3 linked regions of the Drosophila melanogaster genome follow. Changing the gene in region 1 together with any one later gene gives a genetic interaction. Each region holds a gene or a part of one and is shown in the gene's direction. Other genes may lie near its edges.

What was found. Genes that interact genetically often act in the same process or in processes that back each other up.
Region 2: of tow (region 1) and ck, changing one suppresses a phenotype caused by changing the other (phenotypic suppression), as found in Drosophila melanogaster (one study listed by BioGRID).
Region 3: of tow (region 1) and stan, changing one enhances a phenotype caused by changing the other (phenotypic enhancement), as found in Drosophila melanogaster (one study listed by BioGRID).

What each region holds. Positions count from the first base shown.
Region 1 is NT_037436.4:6,940,930-6,948,874, forward strand, and holds the start of tow (target of wingless), read left to right. Parts: upstream 1-1,926; 5' UTR 1,927-2,077; exon of another isoform or gene 2,078-2,172; intron 2,173-3,502; 5' UTR 3,503-3,761; coding exon 3,762-3,840; intron 3,841-5,334; coding exon 5,335-5,518; intron 5,519-5,571; coding exon 5,572-5,629; intron 5,630-6,318; coding exon 6,319-6,986; intron 6,987-7,041; coding exon 7,042-7,180; intron 7,181-7,348; coding exon 7,349-7,576; 3' UTR 7,577-7,945.
Region 2 is NT_033779.5:15,054,861-15,059,474, reverse strand, and holds the start of ck (crinkled), read left to right. Parts: upstream 1-1,612; 5' UTR 1,613-1,807; exon of another isoform or gene 1,808-1,970; intron 1,971-4,614. Other genes in the region: CG33679 (uncharacterized protein), read right to left, coding at 588-743, 807-1,172. UniProt on the Drosophila melanogaster protein: Myosins are actin-based motor molecules with ATPase activity. Unconventional myosins serve in intracellular movements: can function in cells as a single-molecule cargo transporter.
Region 3 is NT_033778.4:10,671,782-10,676,346, forward strand, and holds the start of stan (starry night), read left to right. Parts: upstream 1-1,563; 5' UTR 1,564-2,188; intron 2,189-4,565. UniProt on the Drosophila melanogaster protein: Involved in the fz signaling pathway that controls wing tissue polarity. Also mediates homophilic cell adhesion. May play a role in initiating prehair morphogenesis. May play a critical role in tissue polarity and in formation of normal dendrite fields.

The sequences.
Region 1 (7,945 bases):
TGAAAGGAGTGCGAAAATTTGCCTAAATGCTGGCAGGACACACCAACAGGTTCAAACTGTTGCAGACAACGGGAGAAATGCCAAACAATGTGAGAAATGCCAGAAACATATGTCGCCATTATCGGCAGTTAACCAACATGACAATCCTTGCATAGGGAATCTGATAATTAGGGAATGATTTTGGGGAGTAACAAGTTCAAGGATGGCTTGGAAAAATATTACAAAACATTTAATATGGAGTCGACTTTTGTATTATTTTCTTTTCTACTATTTTATCGAAGAAATTACTAAATGACATACTTAACAATAATAACTTAAATAATAAATGCGTAGAAAATAATATTTTTATATTTTCTTTCTTACCATTAGATAAAGTTGAATTTGACTTAAAATGATATATAAGAAATTGATTCAAACAATCCAAATTTTGTTCAGCTTTTTTGTTGAAATTTCTCTGCTCATCTTGTTTCAATTGTTTAGCGAAAGCGATATCTGTAATCCCACCAAACACCATTAATATAAGACTTAAAATGCCACCCTGCTTTTGCTCAATCCATAGATCAATGGGAAGATATCATTTCGCATTTGTTGTATATTACTTCCTGTTTGGCATGGACATATACATTTCATATTTTTCCCACCAGTCCGTAGTGTCCGTAGATGTCCTAGATGTCCTAACTGTCCACCCCTTGAGAGCGATATAGTCGCATTTCCAGCCCCCTGACGACGACACACGTCCGTGGCAATAAAAGCGCAAACGTTTCAATTCCGTTGCGGCTGACAAATGCACGGAAAAAATGCCAGCGATTCTGCCCCAAAAATATATTATAATGATAAAAAAAAATCGAGTGAATGGAAACGGACGAAAGTTTATATAGATGCTGTCGAGTGTTTTGATTTGTAACGTTTCTCACTTCATTATTATGCAATAAATAATGCCATCTACATGTTCCATCTAATATTATGCAGAAGGGCGAATCGCAGGGGGTAGTTTATTTGTCCTGCGATTTCTGTCCATCGGAAGTGGAGCGGAGCGATGGTCAGAAAATCATTGCTGTTGAAATTAATGAGGCCTAACATGACTGGGCGCGATTTTTTTTTTTGTGCGAAAATATTTTTGCGAAATATTAGGAAAGTATTGAAATATTGAATATGCCGGAGTACGTGGTTTCCGTATTGTCCGTGGTTTATCATGATATCCGTATGGTCCGTGGTGTCCGAGATGTCCGTGGTCTATATAAAATAATAAGTAAAACAAAATAGTTTTAAGAACAATTACAGTCTGTTCATAAAAAATTAAATTAAAATAGGGGTAAGTGTAAAACACCATTTGGAAACTTCAAGACCTCTGCTGGAGCTTTTTGGCATTACTGGAACAGTTGTCGCGTGGCCAAGAATTTCGAAAAGTTCCTGGCACGGAGCTTAAAGCGTGCTCTACCAGAAAAGTTTATTTACTTCTTCTATGCGTGTATTTTCCGATATCGATACCGATATCGATGGTACGAAAAAGAATGCATATCGGTACACCAACGCCAAATCAAAGTGCCAAAATGGCCTCGTGGCCTGCACGAAGGACCTGCTCACAACGAATCCTATATACATCGAAATCGTGAGTGCTACTAGTTTTGGTTCCTCGATTTAGAGCTTCGATGCAGTGTTGCGTTAAAGAAACAGGGCCTTGGGTCTGAGGAAAGTGCAACCCTTTTCTGTGTCCGTCGCTGATCCTGACCACGCCTTAACATTTTCTGGCACCGCCTACGCCTACCCCATGCCGACGGCGCCGACCTGCGATCAGCCTCCGCAAATGGTCACATCCCGTACCAGAACCGTTTGCCGAAAGCTCCAGCTCCACGGTAGCATTGAACCCCTGTGCGAAAGCTTCGCCTGAAAACCCACCCCCATTGCAGTGGGCACTCATCTCCATCGTTGTGTGTGTGCTGGCATGCCGCTGAGAGCGGTTCTCGCTTTTTGTGACACAAAGAGGAGTGTCATGCAGCATAAATTTCATACGAATTCCGCACACTCGCAACGCGTCGCAGATACTTTTCGGCAAAGTTTTCCGCAGGAAAAAGCCAGTGTAAATAAATTGAAAAAAAAAACCGAAAAAATGGGCGACAGTTCCTCTTAGTTATTAACAAAACGGTGTAAATAAATGGGCGTGTTCGTTAAACGGTAAATGATAGTGTATTTGCGACTGTGTTTTTATTTAACTGAATGGAATGGAATGGCCAAATGCGCCCAAGTGGTCAAGTGAGATAAATCAAACAAGTTTCTTTGGGGCGAAATAAAACGGCGGCCAGCCGAAAATCACCATGGGAATGGAAATTAAATGAAAATCCGGCAATCATAAATAAAACATAAATTATGTTTCGCTGCCAGTTGGCGGCAACAAAAATAAAATAATCAAAAAAAAAAAGGAAGATGTGAACCAAGCGGATATATTTTGATTTTTTTTTATAAATAGAAAAATCAATTTCTCTCTCTCCGAGGAGCGCTCTCTCTCTCTCTTTTTTGGCGCGCGCCTGTCTGTGTCCGTCTTCCCCCAAAACGGGCGCATGTGTGCGTGTGGTGGTGTGCGGTGTGTCTCGCGTGTCGGTGTCTATTATAATATCCAGTGAGCAAAAGCGAGTGGCCGAGTGCTCTCACTCACTCTCTCTTTCTCTCTCTCTCTGCGAATAATTGAATATAATTCAAGTGTTTTTGCTGCACACTATTTGTTGTGCTTATTATCGTTATTATTTGTTTAAATTACCAACGACAACATAAACAACAACAAGAGCACCACGCGCGCGTTTAGCACAACGCCGTGGAGCCACCTTCGAAGGCATCGAAAACATCAACAACATACAAAAGGCTCTCAAGGAGAGCGATTTGCGTAGTGCTGCTGCAGCCCTGGTCAGAAAAACCCTTTTATGGGTTTGTCCTGTTTACAAATTGACGCTGCAAATTGAATTTATAGCACGGCTGAAACAAGTGGATGAGTGCCAGCCAGGGACCCACTTAATTTCCGCTACGGTCCCCAAAATACAGAAGACAAATAAATGAGGAAAATGCCACTACAGTGAAGCATCGAGCAGTGGAAACTTGAAATATTCATAAATTTCGAGCTAAAAGTTTAGTTTGTGCCATATTAATAATGATATTACTAAATCAAATTCGTTCGTTAATATTTGATTCAATACCAAACGAGCACCAAAAGTATTACTAAAGAAATTTGCACTAATGGTTCATTCTAGACTTGGTATCAATTTATAAGTTTTCCACTAACTTAACTTCACTTGAATTAGCCTAGTTGTCCTGTATTTGGTTTGAACTGGAAATCGGTGGGCGAGTGGTTGAGTGGGTGGCTTGGGTGGCATTTTCCCTGAGAAAAACTCACGCACAAATGTATTTCCCCCCCGAGGAGCATTTGTTGCTGCTACCTCAATCTTTCGAAATTGACAACGGCGGCAGCGGCAGCAACAACAACACCAAATCAAATAAATTTAATTTACACACATAGTTAAATTAGTGAAAATTGAATAAAACAGAAGAAAGAATAGACGACAAACGTAAATAAAAGACGGTGAGGTGACGGAGACGCGAAGAGTGAGGAGCGGCAGACCGAGCGGGAGAGCAACGTGTCGAGCAACAAATTAATAATACAACAACAAAAACAGATAAATAAAAAGCAACACAAATTGAAAACAAAAACAACAAGAGCAGCAGCAGAGGCAGCAGCAGCGATTCTGGATTTCTAGAGGCAGCGGCACATTCAAAAGATGGGCTGTGGACAGAGCAAGATACATTTGTATCCCAGAAAATCGAAGAGTAAAGCGAACGGCAAGAAAGGAGGACATGGTGAGTAGGCGAAATGAGAGTATATCCTTTGGGCACCTGCCTTTATAAGTTCCACACACGGTGCACCAGACGTAAATGCGTTAAAGATGAAGCAAATCAATAGGTTATCTAAGGGTTTTCATAAGCCCAAAATACACAGTTCAAATATTTTTAGTAGCCACCTATGTGCATATATATAATAAAAAATCAGCAATACTGATAAATTGATCTTCAAAAATTTCTCAGTTCATTTTACTTATAGATTTTATGTTATTCTCATTTTGCGTGCTAGAATTGATATTGTTTTGCCAACTTTGTGTATGCCCGATCATTTGGAATGATCTATCAAATCGTTTAGGCATTTTCCTCTGTGTAGAGCAAGGGAAATTGGGGAAACGGCGAGGAAAACGTATTGCCTCGCACAACAAAAGCTTACACGCATGACGACATCAATTTGCCTCCAGCTGTGTGTGCATGTGTGCGTCCGTGTTTCCGTGCATGTGTGTGTGTGTGAGCCACCTGTTTCCACACAATGAGGACATCATTGATTAATATGTCACCAGCAGTGAAAAAAGAAGGGGAAGTTGAAAGGAGGAGCCCAGTTTTAAGGCCATACATTCACCAAAGTAATAATAAAGGCCTACATTTTAAAGCCCACAGCATTGTCTATATATAAACACACACACACGCACACTAGCCAATTTAAGTTTATAAGAATGTAAAAACCTAGCCTACATGGCAAACTTTTGACTATGCCCAACCCCGCGCGTTTGTTGCTGTCTGTGTCTATGTGTGCGTGTTTCTTGCCTTTTTTATTTCATTTTGTGTGTGTATAATTAACTGCTAAAAAGGCAACTTGTTGTTGCAGTGGGCGCCGCTTCAAGGGGCGTGGCCAGCCCCCCCCCCCCAGTTTGTATATAGCTGTGTGTGTGTGTGTCTCTGTGGGCAAAAGGGTTAAAGCTAAAAAAGTATAGCATACACAAAGGCGCCATTGTGCCATAAACGACCCAAATATTTCGGAGGCGCCTAAGCTTTAGTCTCGTTCCTAGATTAATTATTCATAATACTCGCGGCTCTCGCTTTACCGAATTTGCATTAAAATGCATAACGGCTTTTAATTAAATTTATGGCTGGCAAGGCCACTTCAAAGAAAGGCCCGAGGAAATATTAAGTATACGCAGGCTAAGCCGAAAGATGGATTAGCAAAACAGAAACGTGCAGGTACAAAAAGGATGCTAAAAACTTTGATTTCTTTATTTATTTTTATAAATAATTAAGTATTTGAAAGGCAGATAGTGTTTTTTTGAGTATCCATAGTGGCCCAGGACCTAGCATAATTTCTACAAGTGTTTTCTAAGCATTTTTCTCGACTGCGACTGCCCCCCGTTTCGCAGAGAAGTTTGCCACACTTGGCTTATTGCAAAACTTTTGCCACTCCATGGCACTCGCGAAATTGCCCACTCATCTTGACTAATGCTCGAAACTCTTCTTTGGCATTATCCATTTGTTTGGCAGCCGACTCAGATGCCGAAACGGACGAGGACGAAGGCCATATCGAGGATGCTGAGAAGGCACAGCAGCGCGACCGCGAGAAGCACGACGAGAGCGAGGAGCTAAGCAATAAGGACATCCAGGAAAGCGACGAGGACGTGGCCGTCTCACTGCTGCGCGCCAAGAACCTATCGCTGCTGCAAAGCCAGTAAGTTAGCCCATCGACCGCATAACCCGAAAATGAACACCTCACTTTTCCAGGGAAATATCATCTAGCCAGCAGAACTTCTTCCGCATGCTGGACAAGAAGATTGATGAGGTGAGAGTCCACTTAGTGATACATTCCCACATACCAGATGGGAAATTTAAATCAAGGGGGTTCCCAATAGTATAAAAACTTAAATCACTCGCTATAAAGCACAGAGAACAATTGTTGTTTCTATAAACACAAAAAGTTGAAAGTACGAAATTCTATAAATTCATTGACCCCAAATACGTAATTTAATAGAATTTATTAATTTTAACATACATATATATTTTAAAAGCTTTGCAATATAAACTCAACCAATGTAAATAATGATCAGCTAACTAGTCATAACATTGATGTGTAATTGGCTGTTCCGTGATAATAAACAAATGGCCAAAAATCAATATATATGTAAGTGCACTAAGTATTTGGCTATCCCAAATCGAAAGAGCAAAACAATTAGTTTTATGGCCCCCTATTTGTTTTCTTTTCGAACAACATGTGAGGAGCCATTAAAATTCGCTTGTTACCTGAAAATTTGACTTCAAAGAGATTGGAACAACTTATGCGCAGCAAGAAAATGTACATATATGCCATGGGGATTAATTTGATTATTTTATTAAACATGTTAGACACAAAATCTTTTATAAATTTCCATTTTAAAGGTATTTTAATTTGATCTTTATATTCTGGGTGTTTTGCTAAACTTTTACTTCTTGTCTGTGACCAAATCTGGCTAAACACAAACACGCTTGTTTTAGGGTCCCGACTACGATTCGGCCAGCGAGACGGAGATCGCATTGGAGGAGGCCCGACTAAACGCCCTGCGTCAACATTGGGAGTCCGCCAGCATTACGGCCTCCATCTGCTCCTCGGCCAGCCGCTCGCTGCAGACGACGCCCATCCGCCAGGTGCAGGTGCCATTGAAGCAGCCACCGCGTGGCGCCGGCCTGCTGATTCAGCCTTCTAGCGCCTCGGCGGTCACCGCCTCCACCTCCTCCTCCTCCTCATCGACGATAGTCGCGCTGCCCACGACGGAGTATCTACCTCAGCATGTGTTGACGGGACGGCAAGTGGTGCAGCAGCAGCAACAACAGCAGCAGCAACAGGCGGCAGTGCTCTACCAGCAGCAGCAGCAGCAACTAATACTGCTGCCCCAGTTGGATCCTAATGTTGTCAACACGTCCACGGCAGCAGCAGCGGCACAGCTCGTCCAGTTGCAGCAGCAGCATCAACAGCAGCAACAACAGCTACAGCTGCAGCAGCAACAGCAGCTGCAACTCAATCAGCAGCAGCAGCAGCAACTTTACCAGCAGCAGCAACAGCAATACCTGCTGACCCTTCCCGCCGGATCAAAGCCCCAGAGCGTGAGTCCAAAGCGCCTGATCTATGGTGGACCCGCTGCAACCACTCTCCTCTGTGCAACTGGGTAGGTTCAGCTATCTGTCATCATATATATATATATTATATCCATTTAAATACAGTGATGTGCATTTCAGCATCAAATGCAACGCCCCCGAAACTTACGAACCGCCAACCGCTCCACACAGCCAAATCCAGCAGCAACAGCCACCGCCTCCTCCGCCGGGCGCCTACTACGGCGAGATGATGCACGGCGTACAGGTGAGTGATCCTATATGTACTGGATCTTAGAGGGCAACTTGAGTCTGCTGAAGAATTCTTAAAAAATTCTACTGTCTGCAGAATTTGCGCTCATGAGCAACTAATTCTTAATGCCTATTATCTTGACTTTTAGCTTAATGACTAATATATTTACTTGACCATTTGCAGGCCGCTCCAGCGGCGGAATACAAGTTCCCGCCGGCCATCAGCGTGCAGAGACTGGCGCCGCAGGTGCAGCGGCAGTTGCGCGAGACGCAGGAACTCATAAAAGACTCGTGCCCGCAGCTGTATGCGGCGGGCTATGGCAGCCCAGGACCACCGATACGCAATCCCAGCAGGAACCCCACTAGAACTAGACCCACCCTGGAGACGCAGTTCTCGCAGGAACTCTCGTGATATCTATATATGTAAACAGCCGGCAGACGGAGGATGCACCCACGTTCAGACACACACACACACACAACCACTCACAGTTGGAAAAACTGCAGCCAAAGAGGAAAGCTAAAATTAACCAAAATTATAAGAATACGAAACCCGTGACAAAACACACAGTAAAAAAAAAACAAAGAAAAAGCCAAAAAAAAAAAACAACCAAAAAGAAACTTCAAAATGAAAGAAAATCAATTAAGAAATTGTAAAACTGCACTCAATGTTTCAGACCCTCAGAATCCCCAAAATGCGTACTATTTGCAACAAAGAAACAATATGAGCAACTACTATACCTATGCGGAGCAACAAATAAAGCATTCAACTACAAGGATATTC
Region 2 (4,614 bases), on another chromosome or scaffold:
AAAATATAAATCAATCCCAAATGAGCACACACCACACATCCTTCATATTCTTAAATGAAACATTGTAAAGACACGACACGCGAGAAAACATTTTGTATCTGCTGCCCAACTGCGGAGGCGTTTACTCTGACCACCTAAACCTTAAACGAGAGAAAAGAAATTTCAATAAACATTAACTATTGATAAAACGGAGACGTCTTGTTGCCGCAATCAGTTTTTTAAAAACGCCGGTGATAACGACCACGCTGCTGATAACTCGCCGATAACACAGCGGGGCGATAAATTGAGCATTGAGCAAAGTAAATATGAATACATTATAAATATAACTCAGAATGATCTAGCAGAGAAGTAAATAAGACGCCATATTGTGTATGTATTCTCGAAGAGTATTAACAACCGATGTAATTAGTCAGTTTTAAAGCAATTTGCATTAACGAACTTTGTATTGCATTAAGTATAGAAGTCGGAACGGGCCAGATCGGACAACTATATCATATAGCGGGCATAGGAATAATTAAAACATTAACGCAAAATAAATATGTGTTCGTTGTGTTAGATCCATTAGGTGTTCTAATGTTTTGTTCATCTTAGTCAACGTCAATTTCAAAGTGGATGTTTATGATGGAAATCCAGTTCACGACACCATCATCCATTTCGAGGGTTAACTTATAGCTACCCTTTGGTAATGGGACCTTGGCAAACATACGATCATCCAAGGTGCAGTTCCTTATGTAAATATCATCCTTAAAATATATATTTTAATATGATTTAATATGATTGTCATATTGGCGAAACTAAATACTTACATTATAGGGACATGTATGATTAATATTGGAAAAGGGCATAAAGGCGGTGTAGAAATAGTAGAAGACTCTGAGACGATTTGGATACCTTAGGACGCGACAGTGTTCCTCGGAAACATTAAATAGAAACGGATGGTATCCGTTTAGCTTCCGGTAAGTGATGAATCTCACGACCATCCTATTTATTGGCAGTTTCAGAAGCTTAACGTGTATGTTGGCTCCGATAATTCCCCTGCCAAGCACTTTTAGTCGGCATTCGGGAAAGACGACGAATGATTTGTCATAGCTTTCGCACTTGAGGTTCGTGAGGCGCACGTATCCATGGGATTCTCCAATGAAAAGTAAGCTGATCCACAAGAGGTACTTCATCAGGGCAAATAGTCTGGATGTAATGACCACTCTACGCGATGGTGGAGTACTGGTTTCCAAAAATATAATTACTGATGGGGCATAATTAGATTTTAATTACTACTTATCGCAGTTCGTATAAATAATTAGGTAATCAACAAACCGCTTCAATGAGCTAATATGACGACATGTTTAATATATTGACATAGAAAAAAGATATTTCTTGAAAAATGCAATAGCTTATGACAGATATTTTGAAATGCGCGCCGAAATTAGGCAGGTCGATAAATTTGGGTAAGTAATGCTTATTTTTATCGATGCTATCGGAAGTCTATCGATCGGACTGCTTACGCGGCAATGTGACCATATAAGCGGTTTTCAAATGAACTGTAATGTTAACTCGTTAGCATACCACGATTAGTAATCCGCGCATTTTTTAGGCCATTCGCAACTGGCCCCACCACCTGGTCACTCTTATTGATCAGTTTATCGGTTGTTATTTTTCGCTTCAAGTCTTGTCTTCTCGGCGAAAAGAAAAACAATAAACAAATCGCACAGCCCCAAAATGATCAGTGGTCTGTAATCCACCTGTTGCTCGGCTTAACTGTGCTGGAAAAGCGGACTTTCGGCGCGCTGCTCTATTCCTGCGACTGCTGGTGCGTGACCTATTTATGTAACCTGTTTTTGAAAAAGAACATCCCGCTTTCGACGGGTCTGGAAAAGTGTTAATTAAACGGTCGTGGCGAGAGCGATTCCAATTAGAATTCGAATTCGGTGACCGAAAAGCGGAGAGTGCAAAATTCTGAGGCGGCAATTAAGGTAGAGAGTGATTGGAAAAAAGAAAAGAAATGAAACGAAACTAAAAGAAAAGAGTGCATTAACCCTGCCAAGCGGTCTGTGTAAATGTGTGTCTGTTTGTGGCTAGAAAAGCCAGTGGGGAAAATGACAAGGGTCACAGCATCGGTTCAGTGTAACATCATCGATTTTATTGCATTTCCAGACGGAGACGTGGCTGCATTGCATTTTTATTGCTTTAGGCGAGTGACCAAATTAAATAGCTACGCTTCAGGTTTCGTTGGCTAGAACGGTACTAACATGCACACTACAAGCGCAGCCCCGCTCTCTCGCACGCACACACGGACAGGTACACCTGCCGAGGAGCTGCAGAGCGAGCGAGAGGGAGAGATGCGTAAAGAGCGGCTCACAGTGCAACACATTCAAGGGTGCTGCTACCGTCTCCCCCTCTGCCACGTACCTTTCCCACCCGCTCTCGACAGTGCGCTCTCTCCCTCTCATTCTCCTTGAGCTTGAACCAGGCTTCCACACTGAGAAATAAACGATGTCAATTTAAAATGATTTGAATAGTCTTTTATGGAATTACGTGCGTAAACCTTAAAACAGTGACTAAGTGTGTTTTATTAATCAGTTGAAAACGTTTTTTTTTATAATCTATCATTATGATTATGAAAAATATACATATATGAAATACTTTTACTGTGTAAATCTAATCTAATCAGAGTGTACTATCATTAATTGTTTATAAATTTCAAACATTCAAGTTAAATATTTGTATATCCCATTTACATAAATTTGCATAAATACAAATCGATCATGAAGCGTCTGCTTTTTCTTGCAGTTCAGCGGTCAAGAGTTCTGAAATTGACAATAACAACAAAAACGCAGGCACACTTGTTTGTCCGGTTTGTTGTTTTTGCTGTTGCACAACGGGACATTTCGTGTGTGGACAATTGGAAAACCCTTTTTCAAATAAACGCTTTTCATTAGCCGGTTTTTGTTTCTTCTCTCCCATCTCAACCTTTTTTTTGCGTTTCCATTTGGGTTGTTGGGCTGTTTTTGTTTTTGTTGTTGCTGGGGGCTTTCGCGCACGCAGCGACTTTCTGTTTGTTTGGTGAAACTTTTTTAAGGTCTTCTCTAAATACATAATAAAAAAAAAATGAACATAATACTTTGCCCATTTTTTATTTTTGTTGTTGTCGCTGGTGAGTCGTTAAATTTTGTAGAAGATTTCAGTTGTTAAACCAGAAGCAAATTGTGTGAACAACAAACGAAGTTTTGCGAAAAAGAATTTTGTTAGCAATGCTAGTAATTATGGAAAAAGTTAAAAAAAAATTCTACAACTAACGGTGTTTTTTAAATTTAAATCATTTACAAGTTCACATTAATAACAAACACTTTATAATTTAAATTTGAAAAGGTCTAAAGGCAACATATAATCAATATTTTTGTAAAATAAGTAATATTATAAATGTTCAAATGAATTGAAAAAGTGCATTTGCTCTTAAATTTAAGAATCGTTCGCATTCCATAGACTTTACTACGGATTTATTATTAGCCATATTATCTTGAGAGCTATAATTCAAGTGACCAATAAAACAATATGGGTTTAACTAAAGTGCTCCAATTAACGTATAAGTAAAGTGAAACCTTATAGGATTATTATTGCATTTTTTGTAAAATAAGACGAATATGAATTTTTCAGATAGGAAATGTTTTTATGCCACAAATTGCTCAAAGATGACAACAACATGATGTCAAGTGTCAAAGTCAAAGTGAACAAAAAGTGGTTGTATTAAACAATTGGTATGAACGCCATACATACTTTTATATGTACATATGTTTATAGATAATATATGGCCGAGTGTCTGTATGTAGTGTAGAGTAGATGGCATAAACCGTAATTGTACGTGGCTGCCACACACGAACTTTCACTAATGACTCTCGATGAACTTTTGGATCACTCACTAAAAACGCACTCTCTTACTTATAGACATATATACATGCAGTACATATACATACATATGGTTACCATATATATGCACTTAGATACGTGCCAATCGTTCGTCACTGAGTCCACTATCACTACCATTCGATGCTAAATCTGCAGAGCCGGAAATTCTTAGACGCTCTTTGCTCGATTCTATAAGTTTTTTAATCGTTTTTGGTCATGCCCAGAGATACAAATGTCTGCCTCACACCTCGATTTACACCTTGTTTGATGTTTCGCTTCTTATCGCTACTTGCACTGCAGGGAAATTCTGATAACAGCAGGTACGGCAATTAGGCAATCGTTTTTAAATAATTCAGTCATGACTGTGCTTAGTCTAAGTGCTCTCTTCAATTTGAAAACAGTTGTGGATTGAGTACCAAAAAAAGATTAAAATACGAATATAGATACGTTTACCTAAAAAGCAATCCTTAAGATACAAATAGAGTTCCCAATAAATGAAACCTTTTCCGCGTTCTACAGTTAAGTACTTGCGGAAAGAGGGGATTTAGATGACAATGAGGGCATTAAACTATTAAATTGGGTGCTGATAACAGGACAACGAGTATTGAGCAATATTACTTAATACATGTATGTATGTCTTAGTTAAATGTTTGAACTCCAGCCGACAATTGAGGTCGCTATATGGTTGTGGTTCGAGTGTGGATCGCGGATAGA
Region 3 (4,565 bases), on another chromosome or scaffold:
TCCAACTCCGATCTCCGAAAAGGGCTGCCGGCTTTCGACGTGTGTCAAGTGTGCTGCATTTGTTTAATGCCAGCGCTCAGTAATTGGAAAGCATGTCGAACATGTCGAATTTATTGCCCCGCAAAAAGCACACAGATACAAATTGAAACGGTTACAGATTACGGATGCAGCTAGCTACACATGGCCACAAGGTTACATAGACACGGATACAGATCAATGGGGGAATTCAGAGCATTCCGAGTCAATGGCTTGGAAGAGCCTCAACCAAATGCAATTAATCAAACGCAAGGGGCCAATGTCAATTACATGCAAGAAACCCCCATTTCGGTCTCCTATTCTCCTATTCCTTCGATTCCTCCCAAAATCCCTTCGATTCGTTGCTATTCGGAAGTATTCGGACCACGTCAGCTGGCCAAATGCGAGTTGTTGGCCAAACGACGATGTCTTGGCCAACACCTTCCTGTAAGCTATAAATTCCGCCGACACATACATACATCTACCAGCGTAGCCATTACCCACGACTGTTGTCCTTGTGGGCCAAAAGCTTGTTCGGTTTCTGGGTCCCAGCATATGTTTATCACTGCTGCCGAATTCTGCCAACCAAAATTGCATTAAATATTTTGCATAATTCGATAAACTGAAATCTAATCGAATGGCAAGCAGGAACATGCGAATTTCTGGCATACCTATGTATAGATCCCAATTGGAATAATGATTCATCCCTAATGGCTTCGTAATTGAAACTATTCACTTAACAGCTCTTGACACTTGAACCTCATCATAACATGGAAAACGGTCATTTGGTCGGTTTTAATGGTGTACTACATTTTTGGTTTTGACAGTGAACTTTTAGCATATTATGTTTCTGAACATAAATTGCGTTGATTTAGACTATCGCTTAATTATGCCAAATAATATGTTTGTTTGTTTATTTAGTTTTCAAACCAAGGCGTTCAACAGAAAATGAATTATTATTGGTGGGACACAAAAACTAGGCTATATGGAATATTATTTATTAATATTAACAAATGAATACACCACATGTAAATTTATAAGTTAGCAATTTTATGTTCAAGTTTTACCCGTAAGGGATAATGTTCCACCATCTTTAGATTCGCAAACTAATTCCGATTACAGGTGTTGGCCCGATGCACAGATAACACATTTATTTAACATTTATTTAATAAATAGTAGTAAAATTATATAAATATCACATTTAATAAATTGAGTCGATTTAAATCTTTGAGCATGCAAAGCGTGCTGCAAAACTAATTTACTGATAAGAAAAAGACTTTCGAAGTTTCCAAAGATTGAATATCCTACAGGTTGAAGAATCCTGGATCAAATTGCACGTTTTTATGCTCGGGGATGCAAACCGAAATTTGGTGGCACCTCTCTCTGCTGCCGCAACATGTTGCAACAGTCGCGGCAATGTTGCTGCAACACGCAGTCACCCCCCGCAGAAAATCCACCACCGACGAAAGTATCCATCGGATACACGAACTCGCTTCGGCTTCCAACTGAGTTTTAGCAAGAAACTCAGTTTCTGTTTCTGGTTTTGCCAGTTACCACTGCGACTCCGGACCGATTGGACGCGTTTTGAGCGTTTGGCCAGCAAGAACGGTATTATTTTTCACTCGGGGCTACGCGTGCGCGTCTCTGCAAAGTCAAAAGCAAAGACAAATGCAAAGGCAAGTGCAAAGCCAAAAGGCAGAGGTAAACGCAAACCCAAAGTAACAACTTCGACGGTCGAAATTACCGGTTTTTCGCCAACACAACATACAACAATCCTCGCTCTCAGTGAATTTTAGCGCGCGGTCTTTTCTTCGCCTGCTGTTTTCAGAAAAGTGCGTTGGCTTTTCCAACAACCACCCCCTTTTTTTAGCCGCCCAGCTTAACGGTCGGGGTTATAGTCGGTTTAGCATTCGAATTATTCGAATTTCCCGGAATCAAAATAGTTAAATCAGTTTAAACAGTGCTCTAGAGTGAGGCCAGTCACACAAACTGGCGAGTGCTAATTATAATATATTGTGTTAATAATACAAACACAAGATTCACGCAGAGGAAACAACACGGATGCGCGATTTTAAATGCAATATTATAAATATTTAACAATGCAGCCGTGCAGCTAAAGCGGATTATTGGCCACCCACGCGTGGAAATTCAGCGGCAGAGCAAACAAAAGCCTGTAAGTTCACACGTTCCAGCCAGGATATATCAAGGATATGTGCATGTGCTCGCGCATATACATATGTCCTTGTGGGCGGGATGCGGCTGCATTCTAATGGGAATTGTGCGACGCATGACACCTGATTCATGACGTATGACAGGTGTCGTTCCAACAGGACACTATATGTTCCGCAGGCGTGGCCTTAAATCTCTTAGATAAACTTCGTATTTAAGGGCTTACGCCATAGCGGAATCGCGTAATTCATATTTTCAAAGGGTTATAAGCTCTAGAAAAGTATTTTGTATCTGCATATAAATGGGGGCCTGTATGAAATATTGCTAGAACCTTTATTTGTTATATGATATGGAAAGACGCTTAGTGGTTCTGGCTACCTCTGAAATGTTTCGATTTAAGACGTTCTTAATTAACGGCTTTCAGCTCTAGGGCTTCGGCAATAAAATAGAGCTCCAATTGGGCCTTTAAACCTAAGGCCTCTTTCTTGGCCATCTCCAATTAGCAGTTGGCCCAAACAGTTGGCCGATGGCCGAAGTCGAAGTCGAAGTCCGACGCTCACACAGTGCAACTGTTAAAGTTCAGAGCCATCGCAAAAAGATACAAACGCGAAGCTCTAAACAAACATTAAACTGAATACCAAATGAGACAACAAAAGGAGGAAGCACAATAAAAGTCACATTAAAACGTGGGTCAAAAACGCGGAGAGCGCGAGGAGAGAAAGGAGAAGAGTTGGGTCAAAACATAACCGAAATCGGAATCGGGGAATCGTGGAATCAAATGCCTGCACGAGATACAAATGTATCTGTATCTGAGCGTTGCAAGTGCTTTGTTTTCCCTGCATTTCACACTTGTCCATGGGATTTTGCCTTTGCCATTGCGTTTGTATCTTTGTTTCTGCGCCCTTTGTCTGGCGCATAAATATTTCAGCAGGCCGGGACAAACTTATCTGCTGGATACATTATTCACTCGACTCAGTTTTGTCGGATTGCCAATTTATTAAGATAGATTTTATTTTCGAGGCCATTAACAGGGCCTTTGTTATATTTCGATGGGGGCCAGATACTCTCGCACATTTATGTTTTATGATTTTCTAGTTGGAATGCGGTGTGTTTGGTGCAATTGGAAGAGTCAAGTCAAGTCCATTTTGAGCCTGCCAGTGGCAAGTAGCTGAAAAATTGTTGTAAGACTGGTTTTCTGCTACTGCTCCTCGTTCGACCCCTTTCTCCCTGCCTCTCTCTAGCTCTCTCTGTCTCTCTTTCTCGGCGTGTTACCAACCTTTTCCCATTCTTCTTGCGGCTGGTGCAGAGAAAAAAAAGTTATTTACTTAGGTTAATTATGTGATCCAAGTTTAGTTACACACAAAAACATCAAATGTCGTTCTATTATATTTTATAAGACGATTAATATTAAGAGTTAAAGGCTTAAGGTGTTATCCTTTAATTTTTACAATAGGCTGTTTTCTTGAAATATGTGTAGAATGAGTTTAATCCATTTATATTTGAAATCAAATAATTGCGGATATAAAGATTAAGTTGTAGTAGAGGAATTACTTGAATAAAATTTAAGAAAAAGTAGGTAAATAAAATATTTTACCGTGCTTAAAATGAGTTTGTTAGCGCCTGGCTCTCTTCGCGGTTTTGCAGCTGTCTCGGCCAGGTTAGGAGCAATCCACCACCGGCAGGCAGATCCGCTACGGGCCATCATCCTGACCAGAACGCATCCTCTTCTTCTTCGGTAGCCGCAACCTGTTTTTCATTGGTTATGTTTTTTGTTTTTTTGAGTTCGAAGTGATCAGTTAAGACTTCAGTTGGCCAAGGAGCCAACGAAAAAGGTGATTTTTTCCGGCTTCTGATGCCACATTCACTGCGAATAGCCAACTCGCACGGCGAACTAACCTCAGTCAATCCATTCGATATCCATGCCGGCATAGGAAAACTCGTTATGACTCTTGATTAATTAACATTTGAATGCTGTCTCGTGCCAGTTAATGTGGCTGATTTGTGACCGGCTTGAGTCCATCAAAATATCAACAGTCTATTGTGGAATTTATTACAGAATCAGAGGGCCAATGGCCAAATGAGATTTGCATGGCATGGAGTTGGACGAATTCGTGTGCACACACCAGAGATTCATTGATGACGTTGATGGTCCACATTTTTCGGTATCTTTTGTGGGTTTATGGTGGCCTCTCTTGGCCACTACTCACACGGCTATCCATGAGATACTTCTGCGTAGGCATCGGCCCTCTTGGTCGCGCACTCAAAACTGGTTTCGGCCACATTCAAAATTGTTATGTTAGAATAAAAGCTTAATTGATGCATATACACACGTACGGTTCAGTTTTATACGGCAGCAGTGGTCCGTAGATACAGCCGAAAAA